Linked DNA regions of Danio rerio. The protein of the gene in region 4 interacts with the protein of the main gene of each other region in a biochemical or structural test. Links are inferred from orthologs where the notes say so. Each region holds a gene or a part of one and is shown on either strand. Other genes may lie near its edges.

Region 1 (3,522 bases), on a different chromosome or scaffold from region 4:
AAGAAAAAAATAATAATTTGACCCATCCCAAGTATTTTAAACATATAACATTCATACCTCTAGAACATGCATGAAGTCTTTGAATATTCTCTTCCTCTCGGACTCCAGCGTGATGTCTTCAAAAGCAGGCTCTTTTAGGAAGCGCTCTCGTACCTGACCCAGCATAATACACACACATCATTAGCAGAGCAATACTAATAGGCCAAAGGATCAAGTTGAGCTCATAACCAGGGGTGCACATCACTTTGTTTGGTCCAGTTATCAAAGTACCAGGAGATGTTGCTTAGGGTGTCACTACTAAACTGAAAAGGATGGGTGATATTTTATTTTTCTGCAATAAATACTGCGATATAAATAGCTTCACAAGAGCTTTATTGGACAGTTTTCTGAGATGTCTAACAATATTTAGGAACAGAAATTAAATAATCACAATGCAAACTTTGCTTTGTCTCGTTTCTAATCCAAATATTAAAAAAAATTAGAGCAGTAAAAATATTGAATCGAATATCTACCAATGAAGCAAGTAAAATATATTTGTTTTTCGCTTTGAAATGTAGATATTTGGACAAGAAACAAGACTTTTTTTTTTTTTTTGCAGAAATAGTATAAGTTGCTTGTAAATACAGTAATTAAATACAATTCTGTAGCTCCTGGTATTATAATTCAAACTCAACATTGCATATCTTGCAATGTTACTAATGCAGATGTGCACATAGATATATCAATGCTGAAGCGATTTATTGTGCAGCCCTAGTGAAAAGGGTGACAGAGTGCATAGGGCACTGGCAATTTAGAGTCCCTGTGGTGGGCAGTGTGGAAGGCGAGACGATCCATACATGATAAACAGCAGCTCACATCCGTCATTTGGTGTGATAGGAACACATATCATGATACACATGTTGTTGCAAGCGCAGCAACTCCATCCATGCCCACAGAGACCAACTTTATTTTACATTCTTCTTCCAAATAAGAGTCTACATACAGTGCTATGAGCTGCGCAATTTGAATCGCAGCAAAATTAAATAAGTATGCACCAAAATTAAAATTGAGCCAAAAATAAAAATTCCTGATGCACTCGAAAAAGAAAATGCTGTTATAATTAATTATTACTTTTTTTTTTACAATTTTCTTGGCCGATTTCAATTTCTTGTATTAAGTTAAGTGTGTCTTGTCAAGACCAATTACTGTTTTTTTTTTTTTTTTGTACAGATTTAAAAAATAAACTCAAATAAAAGTTTTCAACATTTTAAATTGTAAAAAAAAAAAAAATACATTATTAAATTAATAGTATTCCCCAAACTGCAACATCACCAGGAAAAGGTTTAATTTTCCACGGACTTCAACTTTTTTTGGTTATAATTTTACTGCTTTAAGATTTGTATTGTTATTTAGAGATACTGTTATTTAGATATTTATTGATATATCTAAACAAAAAACATTTGCTGACAATTTAATCATGACTATTTAGTAGAATTCTTTACTCACGCATATTTTTAATACAATCAATAATGATCTCAATTACATTCTAACCATGATGTCTGTCACCATTCTTGCTGTCGGTTAACTATGCTAGTGGTCGTTTCAAGCTAAGGGAAAACAATCCCTGTTGATATGTTTTTGCACTTCTGCTGCTGAACAGTGAAAGACAAGAGAGGCAGCTCTTCTTTGTAAGTTACTTTACCTGACATGGAGCGGTTCAGTTTGAATGGCAGGGTGTGTAATATGACGCAATAGTAAACAACTAAGGCAATCATGATACCAAATGACAAACATAGTGCTGCTGTTACACACTGAAGAACAATTACAGTGATGACATGTTATCATGCGGCTGTGAGATCTACAGAGCCAAATACTAAGCTACTTTGCTTTCTACATCTAGTATTTTTCTCTGAAAATGGTCACTGAATTTTACTCATATTTTTATTTTTCAACAGGAACCCATAAATGCCCTTATTAGATGATAATTCTCAGCAGCCGAAAATTTGGAAAAATCTGTGAAATTTATGAAATCGGGTACAGAAAAGTACTTCTCTAGCTGCGCATCTTATCTTATGTGCACCCCTGTATGAAACTGTTGTATAGTAATGTAAAGTGTGACATACTCCCTCCCACGTGGCCTCGGGCTCTAGAGGGGGTGTGGCCTGTTTTAACATGCTCTTAAACGCCGCTTCCTTCCTCTTCATCTTTCTGGCCTCCTCTTTTTCTCTCTCCCGCTCTCGTGCTTCAGCCTTCTCGAGCAACTGAAAACACAAACACATCAAAAGTTATACGTTATACGTATACATTAAACGTGGCTGATGTCATGGGCTAAGTAAAATAAGCTTACTCCTAAGAGAAGACAAGTTTATTTCGCTTACCCCAGAGGAAGATTATTTTACTTGTTTTAAAAGAAAAACTCACTTTATTTTGACTTACTATTTCTGTAAACAAGACAATTTTTTTGCAAGGAAACTGGGATTAACAATTAGTTTTTTAAGTTTAAAAGATTTGTAAAACTACATGTTTGTAATAAAGTAAAATTGAGTAAAATAAAGTAAAAATAGAGTAAAATCGCCATGTAACCACTTCGCTGCTATACACCACTGCTATAATCACCACGGCCACACGGCGCATGTGTTTGTGTGTGTAATGAAAACAGCATTTGTGTGTGACTCATCATTTCAGAAAGGCTTGAATAAGCTCCACCACAAATACATCAAATAAACTTATTTGGTATTTTTGACTAGTAACCTCATTTCAGCTTCATCAGTGTCTGTCTCTGTCACTGACTGCCGTTTATCTGACGTAACGCATGAAAAGCAGACATGCACATCGGAGCGGTGGGCGGGGAGAAGCAGCTCATTTGCAGTTAAAGGCTACAAAAAAACTGCTCTATTGTCCTCAGACACTAAAATGGGCAGATGCTACAGTACATGATAAATAATCTGATGGGTATTTTGAGCTGAAACTTTACAGACACATTCTGGAGGCACAACGTCTTATCTTACATCTTGTAAAAGGGGCAAAATATGTGCTTTTCAAATGCCGTCAAGTAGTTAAGAAGCCACAATTTGATACAAATTACAAAGAACCTACCAATTGGATTTTTGGCTGTTTTAGGAAAAAGGACATTAAATGGAGAGACAGAAATCACTCAGGTATCATAAAAAATATTTATATATTTGGGTTTGGAAAAAAGAAAATCTTAGGTTTGAAACAACATGAGGACATTAAGAAAATATTTACATTTCTGAATTACAAATGATACATCATATTAAAGCTTTGCTATTGTCAGATAACATTGACAGTATGTTTTGTACAGGTGTACAGAAACTCAAATCTGAAATCATCAGTGGAATGTTACACCACTAGTGTTACATCAGAGAATGTTTAACATTTAACTCAATTGTAAATTCAATTAACTCAAACATTAGTTATTTATCGTATAAATCTTTGAATGCTTGTATATTTGAGTCTTGAATATAAATTGAATTACTATTTTTGTTGGTTTTTAGGCTTATAGCATTGACAAACGGATCACCA
Region 2 (3,522 bases), on a different chromosome or scaffold from region 4:
AAAAGTAATCTAATTTAAGGTGGTGTCATTTAATAATAGCTTAAAAGCTTTTTTTTCCCAGTAAAAGACACTTTACCAAAACACAGACAATTTTTGTAAAAAAAGAAAAAAGCTGTAAACTGCTAACCAAAGCATTTTAGGCCTTAGTATTGTTTAAATGATAATTTTACACTCAGTCTGAGCAAAGTGTATCATGAAACAAACGTTCTGAATCAGTAAGTGGTCCTAAACAGTCTGGCTGTTGTCTGAGCTCCTATGCTGGTAAGGGTGTGCAATACATATAGTGACACATATATGATGTGTTATTTTGCAATGTTACGCCACTGACTGTTGGGAAAAATAGTTAACACATCTGAAAAATTGAACAATCCACACAGTTTTGAAAACAGCCATGCTATCATCAACTACTGAAAACTTTCCTACTCCCTGTTTTTGCTTTGTATTTAGCTCAAAAATATACAACTAAATCCTTTACCAGTAAAGCCCTGAGCACCATGAATGCATTCAGACTTCGTTTCATCACTTTTGTTGACACTTAATTCCTCAATTGAGATGAGAAACGCTCATATGATCCTGTTGTAACACTGATTTTCCTGTCTGTGTGTAACAGATGTGTCTGGACTGGTGCGGGCAGTGACTCAGTTTGCTCACCTGGTGGGCGATGTCATCGTGCAGGGCAGCGCCACCTCCCACATGGTGCCAGTGGAGCAAGCTGACGGTGAGCATGACACATTTATCATTTCAACACCTTCCTATTCAGGTTTACATCATGTAATCACATCAAAATGCAAAACGAATGCATATTTATATGCAAATGCTTTATCGAAAATATATAAAGGGCAGTATCTGCCTAGCTCATGTTAATCTCGAGTACCTATAGAGTAGAACTGCATCATTCATATCTTTGACGAGTCTTTCATTGAGCAATATTTGCAAAAATTACAGCATCACATGTCTATGTGGGATTTACTGTAATCATTTGCTTGGTCGTAAACGACGAAGTCTCCTTTCATGATGTCATCGTATATTTTTCTGCATTTGTCCATTGTAAAACATCTACATGTGGGTAGTCCAGTGCAATGTCAATTTAAGTAGTAAACATTTGGTGGTCAGCTAAACAAAAATATTTAAACACACATCGTGGGATTATGCCTGAGTAACGTTTGGTCAACTTTACAGTATGTTTGTGTTGTTTATAAAGCTGTGGTGAAAAATAGTTTTGAGAAATCGAATTTGGGTTGGCGCCAATAGCTTAGAGGTACTGTGTTCTGACATACAGTATATAGCAGAGTGCTCATGCCGGTGACCCTAGTTTGATTCCCAGCTCAAGGTCCTTTGCCGATCCTTCCCCTCTCTGCTCCCAATGCTTTCCTGTCTGAAATCTCCCCTATTCTATATCATAGTAATGGTAAAAACTTAGCGATTTTTTTTTTGGACCTGTACTTAGTTTTTAACAGCAGATGGCTTTCTAGGCTAGTTTTTTAATTATAACATTAATCATACACTGAAATTCTCATGAAAAGCTCTCAGAAAGTTGTTTTTTTATGTCAGGTGTTAACGTAAACAGCTAACTTCAAACACACTTGTAATTCACTTGAACCAAAAATAATTATTCATTAAGTTAGCAAAGGTTTAAGTGGTATTTGTAAGGAACTGAATGCAAGCTGAGTATGGTTGTTCGTAAAGCATACAGCAGCATCTGCTATTAAAAAATAAGCTCAGAATCCATTCAAGCTAGAAAAACTGTGTAATTTGCTGTTAAGTGTCTAAAGTACTGAAAAGTGTCGTCAACACTTTTCTAAACACATAATAGTTTTAATAACTATCTCTAATAACTGATTTATTTTATCTTTCTAATAACTGATTTATTTTATTATAACATTACTAATAACTGATTTATTTTATCTTTACCATGATGACTGACTGTACATATTATTTTACTATATATTTTTCAAGACACTTCGATACAGCTTAAAGGAACATTTAAAGGCTTAAGTAGGTTTGTTAGGTTACCTAGGTAAAATGGAGTTTACTTTCATTCTCTCATTCACAGTGAAATAGGGGCTTCTGCTGTAAGTGTCAGTGGAAGAATGTCCAGCAAACACACATGCAGTGAAATTGTGCACAGTTTCTGCGTTTTTAAGAAGTTGGAGCATTTTAAATACTCGCGCTTGCCTCCCTCGCCATAGTAAGCTACGGCGACATGGCGCATATGAGATAAATGATGTTCATAAATGATGTACATAATAACCAGTTATGATCATTACTGAACCATACCAAATTGTCCTTATCTGCATCACACCAAAGACACAATTATTTTGACACCCCAAGTATTTACCATGGTATGTATTTTTCTGTCATTTCAAAATTTATTTTTACTTTGTGATAGTCTTTTAATCAATATGTTAATGGGAAAGTATGTGTGTGTGTGTGTCCAACATTTTGGTGAATTACATTTGTTTGAGTTTGTTATAAATTTGAAAATGATCACTTTTGCGATGACAAGGCTCCATTTCAATAGCTCAAGATGCCATCTGGCGGTAAGGGTAAATGATTAGCAGCAGTTTTCCATCCCATTGGATCTCATTTTTTAAATAATCAGTCCAGGAGGTGGCGCCGATCAACAGCAGTATCAGTTCAAAAGTGTTCAAAGCAAGTAAAGTAGATTAAAACTATCGTTTCAAAGCGATCATTACGCATCAAGCATCCTCCTTACGCATACACGCAAAGCATAATGGGAAATTTTGCGTTCTAAGAAAAAGGTCTATTGGCTTGCTCTAGTAATCTGACGAATTAACTCACCTCTCAGATCTAAAGACAACACTCATGACAAAACTGCTGAGTTTGTCAGTTTTTGGGGTCTCCCAACACATTTCTATTGTGGTCTGTACTATTTGCAGCATGTTTCTGTATTTGCATGTGTTGTGAGAATTTGTGTAGGTCTATTATCAAAATGATACTTGTAGCACATTTGAGCTATGTCAACTACCCTTTTGATATAAGTAGCATAATTGCACTCACTAAAATTAAAATGCTAAATATTTTAAAACCGCACTGTATTATCACGTAGAGACGTCCAAGAAACTGACTTTGTTTAAGTTGCTCTCCATACATCACAAGGGTCATTCCAATCATTGTGGTTCTGTTAATAACTGGCCGCCGGGGGTCTGGGGGTTTGGTTTCAAGTTGCTTTTAAAGAGCATGGCATAACTCAAAGCGACTAATGTGCTGTGCCCACGTGCACAATGCAATCATGTCATTCATTGCAGCAAATGTGTCTGTTGGAGCGTATGTGGAGTGTCTGCAGGTGACAGATGGCTAGTCTGACTGCTTTCTGCTTTTTGTCTGTGGGCAGCATTGGCAGACAGCGTGAAGGCGTGTGGCGCAGAGGCCCTGACGCTGCTCTGCCAGCTCAAGGAGCAGGAGTCTATGGGGGCGGCAGACTGTAGTCGGCTGAGGACGGCACTAGATTCTGTCAAGGCCTTGGGCGAGGTGAGAGTCAGTCTGGGTTTTAGTTTAAGA
Region 3 (3,522 bases), on a different chromosome or scaffold from region 4:
AGTTAATTACAGATGTAATTACAAACATGTATTTAATCAAACAAAAGTACACAGTAAAAACATGTATTTACACAATAAGTACATTGTAGCAAACTATTAATTCCTATGTAAGTACATATTAGTTAAGGCTACTTAATATAAAGTGGGACCTAATATAATATAATATAATATATTATAATATAATATAAAATTATATAAAATTATATATAAAATAATTAAAAATAATATAATATAATGTAATGTAATGTAATATACAATGATATAAAATAACATGATATAAAATAATTAAAAATAATATAATATAATATAATATAATATAATATAATATAATATAATATAATATAATATAATATAAAATAATTAAAAATAATATAATATAATATAAAATGATATAAAATAATATGATATAAAATAAAAAAAAATAATATAATATAATATAATATAAAATGATATAAAATAATATGATATAAAATAATAAAAAATAATATAATATAATATAAACTAGAAACTCGACACAGAGACACATTAACACCTCACTGCCAACTAGCGTTTTGAAAGTGTTAATGCAGACCAACAGACAGCGAGCAGAAGTATAAATGCACAGCTACGCGTGTTGCATGCGCCGTTGGTTACGCCGGTCACTTGACGCAGAAGTATAAACCAGGCTTTACACAAAAGCTAAATTTGGATCTGTGATGTCGGGTATCGTTTCTTCACTGTAAGCCACAATAGAAGCTCATTATTGATTTATTTTTTCTTCCGACCACTGTATTGTGTGCACAGGAAAACATTGCCTAATATCACTGCTTCCTGTCCCTGATCTAATATCTCCATCTCTCTCTCTCTTTCTCTCTATGTAGTTATTAAGTGAGAAGATCAGTGGTGCGGAAGGGACGAAACTCGATGAAGACTTCATGGAAATGGAGCGGGTGAGAACTGCACAAATGATCCCCTCTTTCTTAATGTGATTTACAGTATGTGAGAAGCATATTTACCATTATCCACATGATCTTTTCCCACCTTTACAGAAAATAGAAGTCACCAACAAGTCTGTTTTTGAACTCATAACTAAAACCACAGAATATCTCCAACCAAACCCAGGTATGAATCACAACATCAGCATTCACTTTGCACTAACAATGCATTTACAGTGTGAACACCATCCGGTTTTACGAATTTCTACAACAAACAAGCGCATGTCCCACAACATTCTGTCACTCGATGACACCTGAATACCCTGTCAGAAAAGTGTAGTGGCTGGGAATGACCCTTTTACAGTGTCTGGTATAATGTTAATATTGTTTTTGGTGCGTTTACATAGATGAATATGACCACAGTGTAAATACACAGTACAGTTACGAGCTTATTGCCACCTTTATATCGTTATGATAACATGATATCGTTGCCTTCAGTGATTCTCTGAAGATAAATACCAAAAAATAACTCAACTGGAATAACAACAGCAGTCATGATCATCAATCTCATATGAAGCTACAGATCGCGAGGACATATGATGACGTGCGGAGGTGTTGTGGTGTCCCATTTCTTCACACAAGGGCCAAGGGGAAGGGGTAAGGGGTACAAAAATAGAATTGGGATTGGGCCTTACAAAACATGTCAACTTCGACACTTTTTAAAAACTTTCTTAACAGCAAAAGCTGTTGGAGTAAAGATCAATTTCCCACAATGCATTTCAAAAGCTTCAAAAAACGAAGAAAAGGAAAACATAAATCTCAAAATACAGAAAACTATTAATTTGTGTATATTTTTTACAAATTAAGGGACGATGTTTATCGAAAGCATTCGGAGGTGCACCGCTCTGCCTCTTTTTGTTGACAAGAAAAAAATAAGTGTGCTGCGAATTTAATGTTGCTAGGCAACCACTGAATCAGCTGCGTATTGTGCGCGGGCGCTGCTGCTGGTATTGTAATATATTAAAAATATTGTGATATTCACGATTTGTGAAGTCATACAGCTCCGGATAACTCGAAACATCGGCCACTAGTCTCTTGTCCATCTATAAAAGTCTTCGTTGTCGACTTGACAACACAAACAATATGCAATAAATGATCAGCAGAAACCCGCCTCTGCTTTCATTTGATTGGACAATGAAAAAAGACATGACTGACTAATGGGAAAAACGCACGCAACAGCAAGCAACTGGTTTAAAAACTATTGAAAAATCATTATTTATTATTATTATTTTTTTGTATTTTGAATTTTGATTTCTAAAGTGCATATTAAAAGCTCCTAAAATCAATAAAGACAATATATATATATATATATATATATATATATATATATATATATATATATATATATATATATATATATATATATATATATATAATCACATATATATATATATAAAAATGTTCAAAAATCATTGCAAAAAGCATGTTTGGTGTGATTAAAACCTAAATGTAGTTGTGTTTTTTTCACATTGCCTGAAAATGGCTTTAATAATACGAAAAAAAAATCATTAGTCATCAAATGCAATGTTAAACACATTATACGGCATGATCTTTGCATGTTTTTATTTGACTTTGCTTGCTTTTTAACGTGTTTTTGGTTTGAATTTAATCAACAGTGGTGTTTTGTTGTTAGCTAATGTAATGATTGTGTCCATTTCCACCAGCTTGACCCATTCGGCCTGATGTGTGGACCTGTTTGAACATGACTGTAGCTTATTATCTTATTAAACTGATTATATTGCTCAACGAGAACACAGCCTCCTCCTGAAACTTGATCACTGTGTTGCACAACATTGCTTTATGCTTGCATCAGAGGTTTGCAATATGGTCAAACATGATATAGTAACAATTAGGGCTGCACAATACATCGTTTCACTATTGACGTCGCAATGTGCTCATCTGCAATAGTCACACGTTTTGATTTGTATATATAGTTGGTTTTAGCACCACAGAGCACATCATTTGTGGAGTTACTACAAAGGTTTAATCATATTAGAGTTTATCGTTCGCATGGATTGTTGTAAGACATTTGATCTCTGTTGAACACAAAAGAAGAGATAAAAACTCGTAATCATTGACTTTCATTGAAGAAAAAAAACAAATACTGTGGAGTCAGTTTCCAAACGTTTCCAGGTGTCTTCAAAATATCTTCTTATGTGTTCAACAGAAATAAAGAAACTCATAAATGTTTGAAACAAGGGCAAGTAAAAGATGATTTATATCAGGGGTGTCCAAACTCTGTCATGGAGGGCCATTGTCCTGCATAGTTTAGCTCCAACTTGCCTCAACACACCAGCCATGATGTTTGTAGTATATCTTGTAAGAGCTTGATTCGCTGGTTCAGGTGTGTTTGATTAGGGTTGGAGCTAAACTCTCCAGGACACCGGCCCTCCAGGACCGAGTTTGGACACCCCTGATTTATAAATATATAAGTGAACTATTTATGTTGACTGTCTGTCTATTTAACATACAGTGGGTATTAATGTGCATAAAAGTTGAAAATTAACGTTAAAGTGTCAAGTAAAATTGTAATTTCATGTTGGTATAT
Region 4 (3,522 bases):
AAAAGTGAATGTGTTCTTGGCAAGAATACAGACTCTTTCCGTCTCTTGATGCGAGGGAGAAGAGGCTCATGGATAATTAAATCCAGCCTGAGTGAGTCATGTTCCATATTGAGGAGATGATGTCACCACTGCGCATTTACGGCTTCAGATCAGACAGTCAAGATAACGGTGAGGGAAATCCCTCACTCAGGTGCCAAATCACAGAATTCAGTAGCAAGGCAATCTTATTTTCATGTCAAATACATAAGGCCATCCAGAATGACTAATGACTTTTGAATCAAGGTACATTTTATTGCAAATCGCCTGATGTGGTCTTCTGAAATGTTTTACTTTGACCAAATTTAAAATAAAGTAAACACATGATAACCTTGGGAAATGCTACTTTTTCAGCTCATACCTTAATCTCTCCATCATTGGCAAAGTGTCCGAGGGCAGCCATGATTTTAGGAATTGAAGAAGAGAGAGTTTCCTGCACAGTCTCTTCTTGACGTTTTGTGATTCGTGTCAAACATGGTAGCAGGTTCACAAGGTACGGCCTGGGAAAGGTGACAATGAGGGTTAGGATTTATTGTGTTTGCTTATCTTTACAATCAAAAGCATGTCACAGCTTAAGATCAGCATGAAACAGAAGTTGCAATGATTTTTTCTTCGCTATAGTGATGTTCTTCAGGAACTGACTTGATCAATGGAAATACAGCAGAATTGAGGCAGATTTGAATATACTCAGTTTACTCTAAAGCGACTTACCTCTGGCACCTTCACATGCTTTATTTTATTATTTATTTTTATTTGAGCCCTATGTTGCTAAAAATTTAAGAGTTCAATTGAAGGAAAATTTATTTAAACCAAACTATTTACCTGCTATGACCAAGATAAAGACAGACAACAAGACCAATGGCACATGAAAGGTAGACATTATAAAGACACATTAATATTTAAAAACATAATCAAGTGCATAGATAAATCATGTAGAATAAACACCACAATATTACATACAAATGGAATTCAACTTTAATCTAAATATGTATTTAAATTCATATACTAGTACAAAATTTGGTTTATTTCCATTTTAATGGAAAAAGTAAAAAATAAATTGCAGCTTTTTTTTTGTGTTAAACAAAATACACATAAAGAGACAGTTCACCCAAAAATGAACATATATTCCCTATCTAATGTTCCTCAAGTGTTCATTGAACACAAAATATAATATTTTATCTAGAAAATATGAAAATAGTAGGGAATAGTTTACTTAGTTTACTTACTGTGGAAGTCAATGGTTACAGGTTTTAGCATTCTTCAAAAAATTTAATTTGTGTTTGTCAGGTGAAAGAAACTCAAACAGGTTTGGAACAAGAAAAAAGTGAGTAAATGATGACAGAATAATCAGTTTTGGGTGACCTATCCCTTTAAGTCTATAAAATCTCTGAACATTTTTTGTTGTAATTACTTTGAATGAATGGGTGCGTTCAACAGAACAATAGTCCAAAACCAAAATACCTCCAAACCAAACCTTTATTTTGACACTCTGAAAATAACAGTTTCTGTTTATATACGTCATGCGTTCTCAAATTAAAATATGAAATACTTATGGAATGAACTCTGTTCTGCAACATCAAATTTAAAAAGTCTTTTCATTGTTTAAATTCAATGCAATTCAATTCAATTCACCTTTGTTTGTATAGCGCTTTCACAATGTAAATTGTGTCAAAGCAGTTTCACATAGAAGATCATAGTAAATTTAAAAGTAACAAGCACTAGTCAAGACTGCAATTTAAGAGTGAAGCCCTACTTTCAATTTATTTATCTTTAATTTGGCAAATTCCACGTTTGCAGTAAACTACATTCCTTTGTTTTGAGCTAGTCCTATGATTGTTCCCACAATGTTCCACAATAATTGGGTCCTGACCAGTCTACTAGAAGTAAGTGACCAAAAGTTGAGCATACCTGCATTTCTGTGGACGCACCAGGTGAGCAAGCTCTGCAAACCTCCACAGGGCTGCCCGCAGACTCCGAGAGGCAGCGTTCTGTTACCACACACACAGTAAAGTGATCCATTAGTGAGCTGTACATTTACTTAAAGAGCACAAGACTCATGTGCCTGTGAAGTTTATAGCATTTCCCCCAAAAAATTTTACTAAAAACAAAAACAATAATCAAACCAATCAAATAATCAAATATTGTTGCAGATAAATCGCAAATTAACAACAAAAGTGCAACAAAAATGTAACTTAAATATAAATCAGCCACACAACGTAATCCTAGAACTCCAGTTCAGTACACTGACATGCATTTACAAAAGAACTCCTAATAAATTAAACATTCATTACAAAAAGTTTATTGAGTCTGATTTACCTTTTTAATCTCTTTATACAGTTCAAGTTGTAGTCTAGGCAAGTTGGAATCCATCAATGCCTGCAAAGATAAACAAAGAAATTATATTACCATTGAACAAAACAAAAAAAAAACACCACTACAATCATCATCCAATTGAATATATGTCAGATATGTAAACTACAAATGAGTTACTTTGATGATTTTGTTGAGGCACTCATCGGCCACCATCCTGACGTCAGACTCTTTGTCATCGCTGCACAGCAAGAACATTTCCATGGCAATTCCAAGAAGTTTCTGGAACTCTGGAGACGTCCTGATAACAAATCAGTGTAATTAAATACATAGCTAACAACACTAGAAGGCTAAAATTATTGGTCACAGCTTCGAAATGAACAGTGAGTCAAAATAAATACATTACAGTATGTTTAGCAATTTAAAATCAGCTATTTTTCTAGGCCCAGAGATCCAGAATATAATTGGAGAAAATAGGGAAAGAATATTCATCTGTTTGTGGTCTTTTCCTCTGTTCATTTTTTTTTTTGCTTGTTTATTTAACAGAGACAATACACTTGACATTGTTTTACAAAGTCAACCGATGTTGTGTACATAGGGAATATAGCATAAAGCTAATTTGCAACCCTCGTCCCTGGTCTAGTACATCTAGTACATCTGTTACAATCACCCCAATTACCCTCAATCAAAAACTGACAGCTACAAGATACAAGCTGCGGCAGAAAAAGGAAATGCTACTTGAAAAACAAGGATGTGGCAGGGCTGCATGGACAGTTATGCCAAAAAGACTAAGACTAATAAAAACAAACCCATCAAGATCACCATAAACTGGATCTATCTTCTCTATGTGTATTCAGGACGTAATCAAGAATTTCAAGAAGAAATAAAACTAAAAGAAATGTTACTGGCTTTTTCATTATTTATCTAGATTTGTTTGTAGTTTATACAGTTGAAGTCAGAATAATTAGCCCCCTTCAAACTGTTTTCTTCTTTTTTAAACATTGTTTTTTTCAAATGATGTTGAACAGAGCAAGGTCATTTTCACAGTATGTCTGATAATATTTTTTCTTCTGGAGAAAGTCTTATTTGTTTTATTTCAGCTAGAATAAAAGCAGTTTTAATTTTTGTAAACACCATTTTAGGGACTAAACTATTAGCCCCTTAAAGCGATATTTT

The links. The genes of interacting proteins can lie anywhere in the genome.
Region 1: the proteins of htt (region 4) and prpf40a form a complex in vitro, tested with the Homo sapiens proteins (2 studies listed by BioGRID and IntAct, with this or other methods). The link is inferred for Danio rerio from reciprocal best matches to the Homo sapiens genes HTT and PRPF40A.
Region 2: the proteins of htt (region 4) and hip1 form a complex in vitro, tested with the Homo sapiens proteins (2 studies listed by BioGRID). The link is inferred for Danio rerio from reciprocal best matches to the Homo sapiens genes HTT and HIP1.
Region 3: the proteins of htt (region 4) and sh3gl3a form a complex in vitro, tested with the Homo sapiens proteins (2 studies listed by BioGRID and IntAct, with this or other methods). The link is inferred for Danio rerio from reciprocal best matches to the Homo sapiens genes HTT and SH3GL3.

What each region holds. Positions count from the first base shown.
Region 1 is NC_133184.1:4,717,601-4,721,122, reverse strand, and holds part of prpf40a (pre-mRNA-processing factor 40 homolog A), read right to left. Parts: intron 2,241-3,522; coding exon 2,103-2,240; intron 154-2,102; coding exon 58-153; intron 1-57.
Region 2 is NC_133190.1:19,379,282-19,382,803, reverse strand, and holds part of hip1 (huntingtin-interacting protein 1), read left to right. Parts: intron 1-610; coding exon 611-718; intron 719-3,355; coding exon 3,356-3,492; intron 3,493-3,522. UniProt on the Homo sapiens protein: Plays a role in clathrin-mediated endocytosis and trafficking. Involved in regulating AMPA receptor trafficking in the central nervous system in an NMDA-dependent manner. Regulates presynaptic nerve terminal activity.
Region 3 is NC_133182.1:12,829,418-12,832,939, reverse strand, and holds part of sh3gl3a (endophilin-A3a), read left to right. Parts: intron 1-860; coding exon 861-929; intron 930-1,028; coding exon 1,029-1,101; intron 1,102-3,522. UniProt on the Homo sapiens protein: Implicated in endocytosis. May recruit other proteins to membranes with high curvature.
Region 4 is NC_133176.1:44,454,630-44,458,151, forward strand, and holds part of htt (huntingtin), read right to left. Parts: intron 2,648-3,522; coding exon 2,527-2,647; intron 2,413-2,526; coding exon 2,353-2,412; intron 2,025-2,352; coding exon 1,945-2,024; intron 537-1,944; coding exon 398-536; intron 1-397.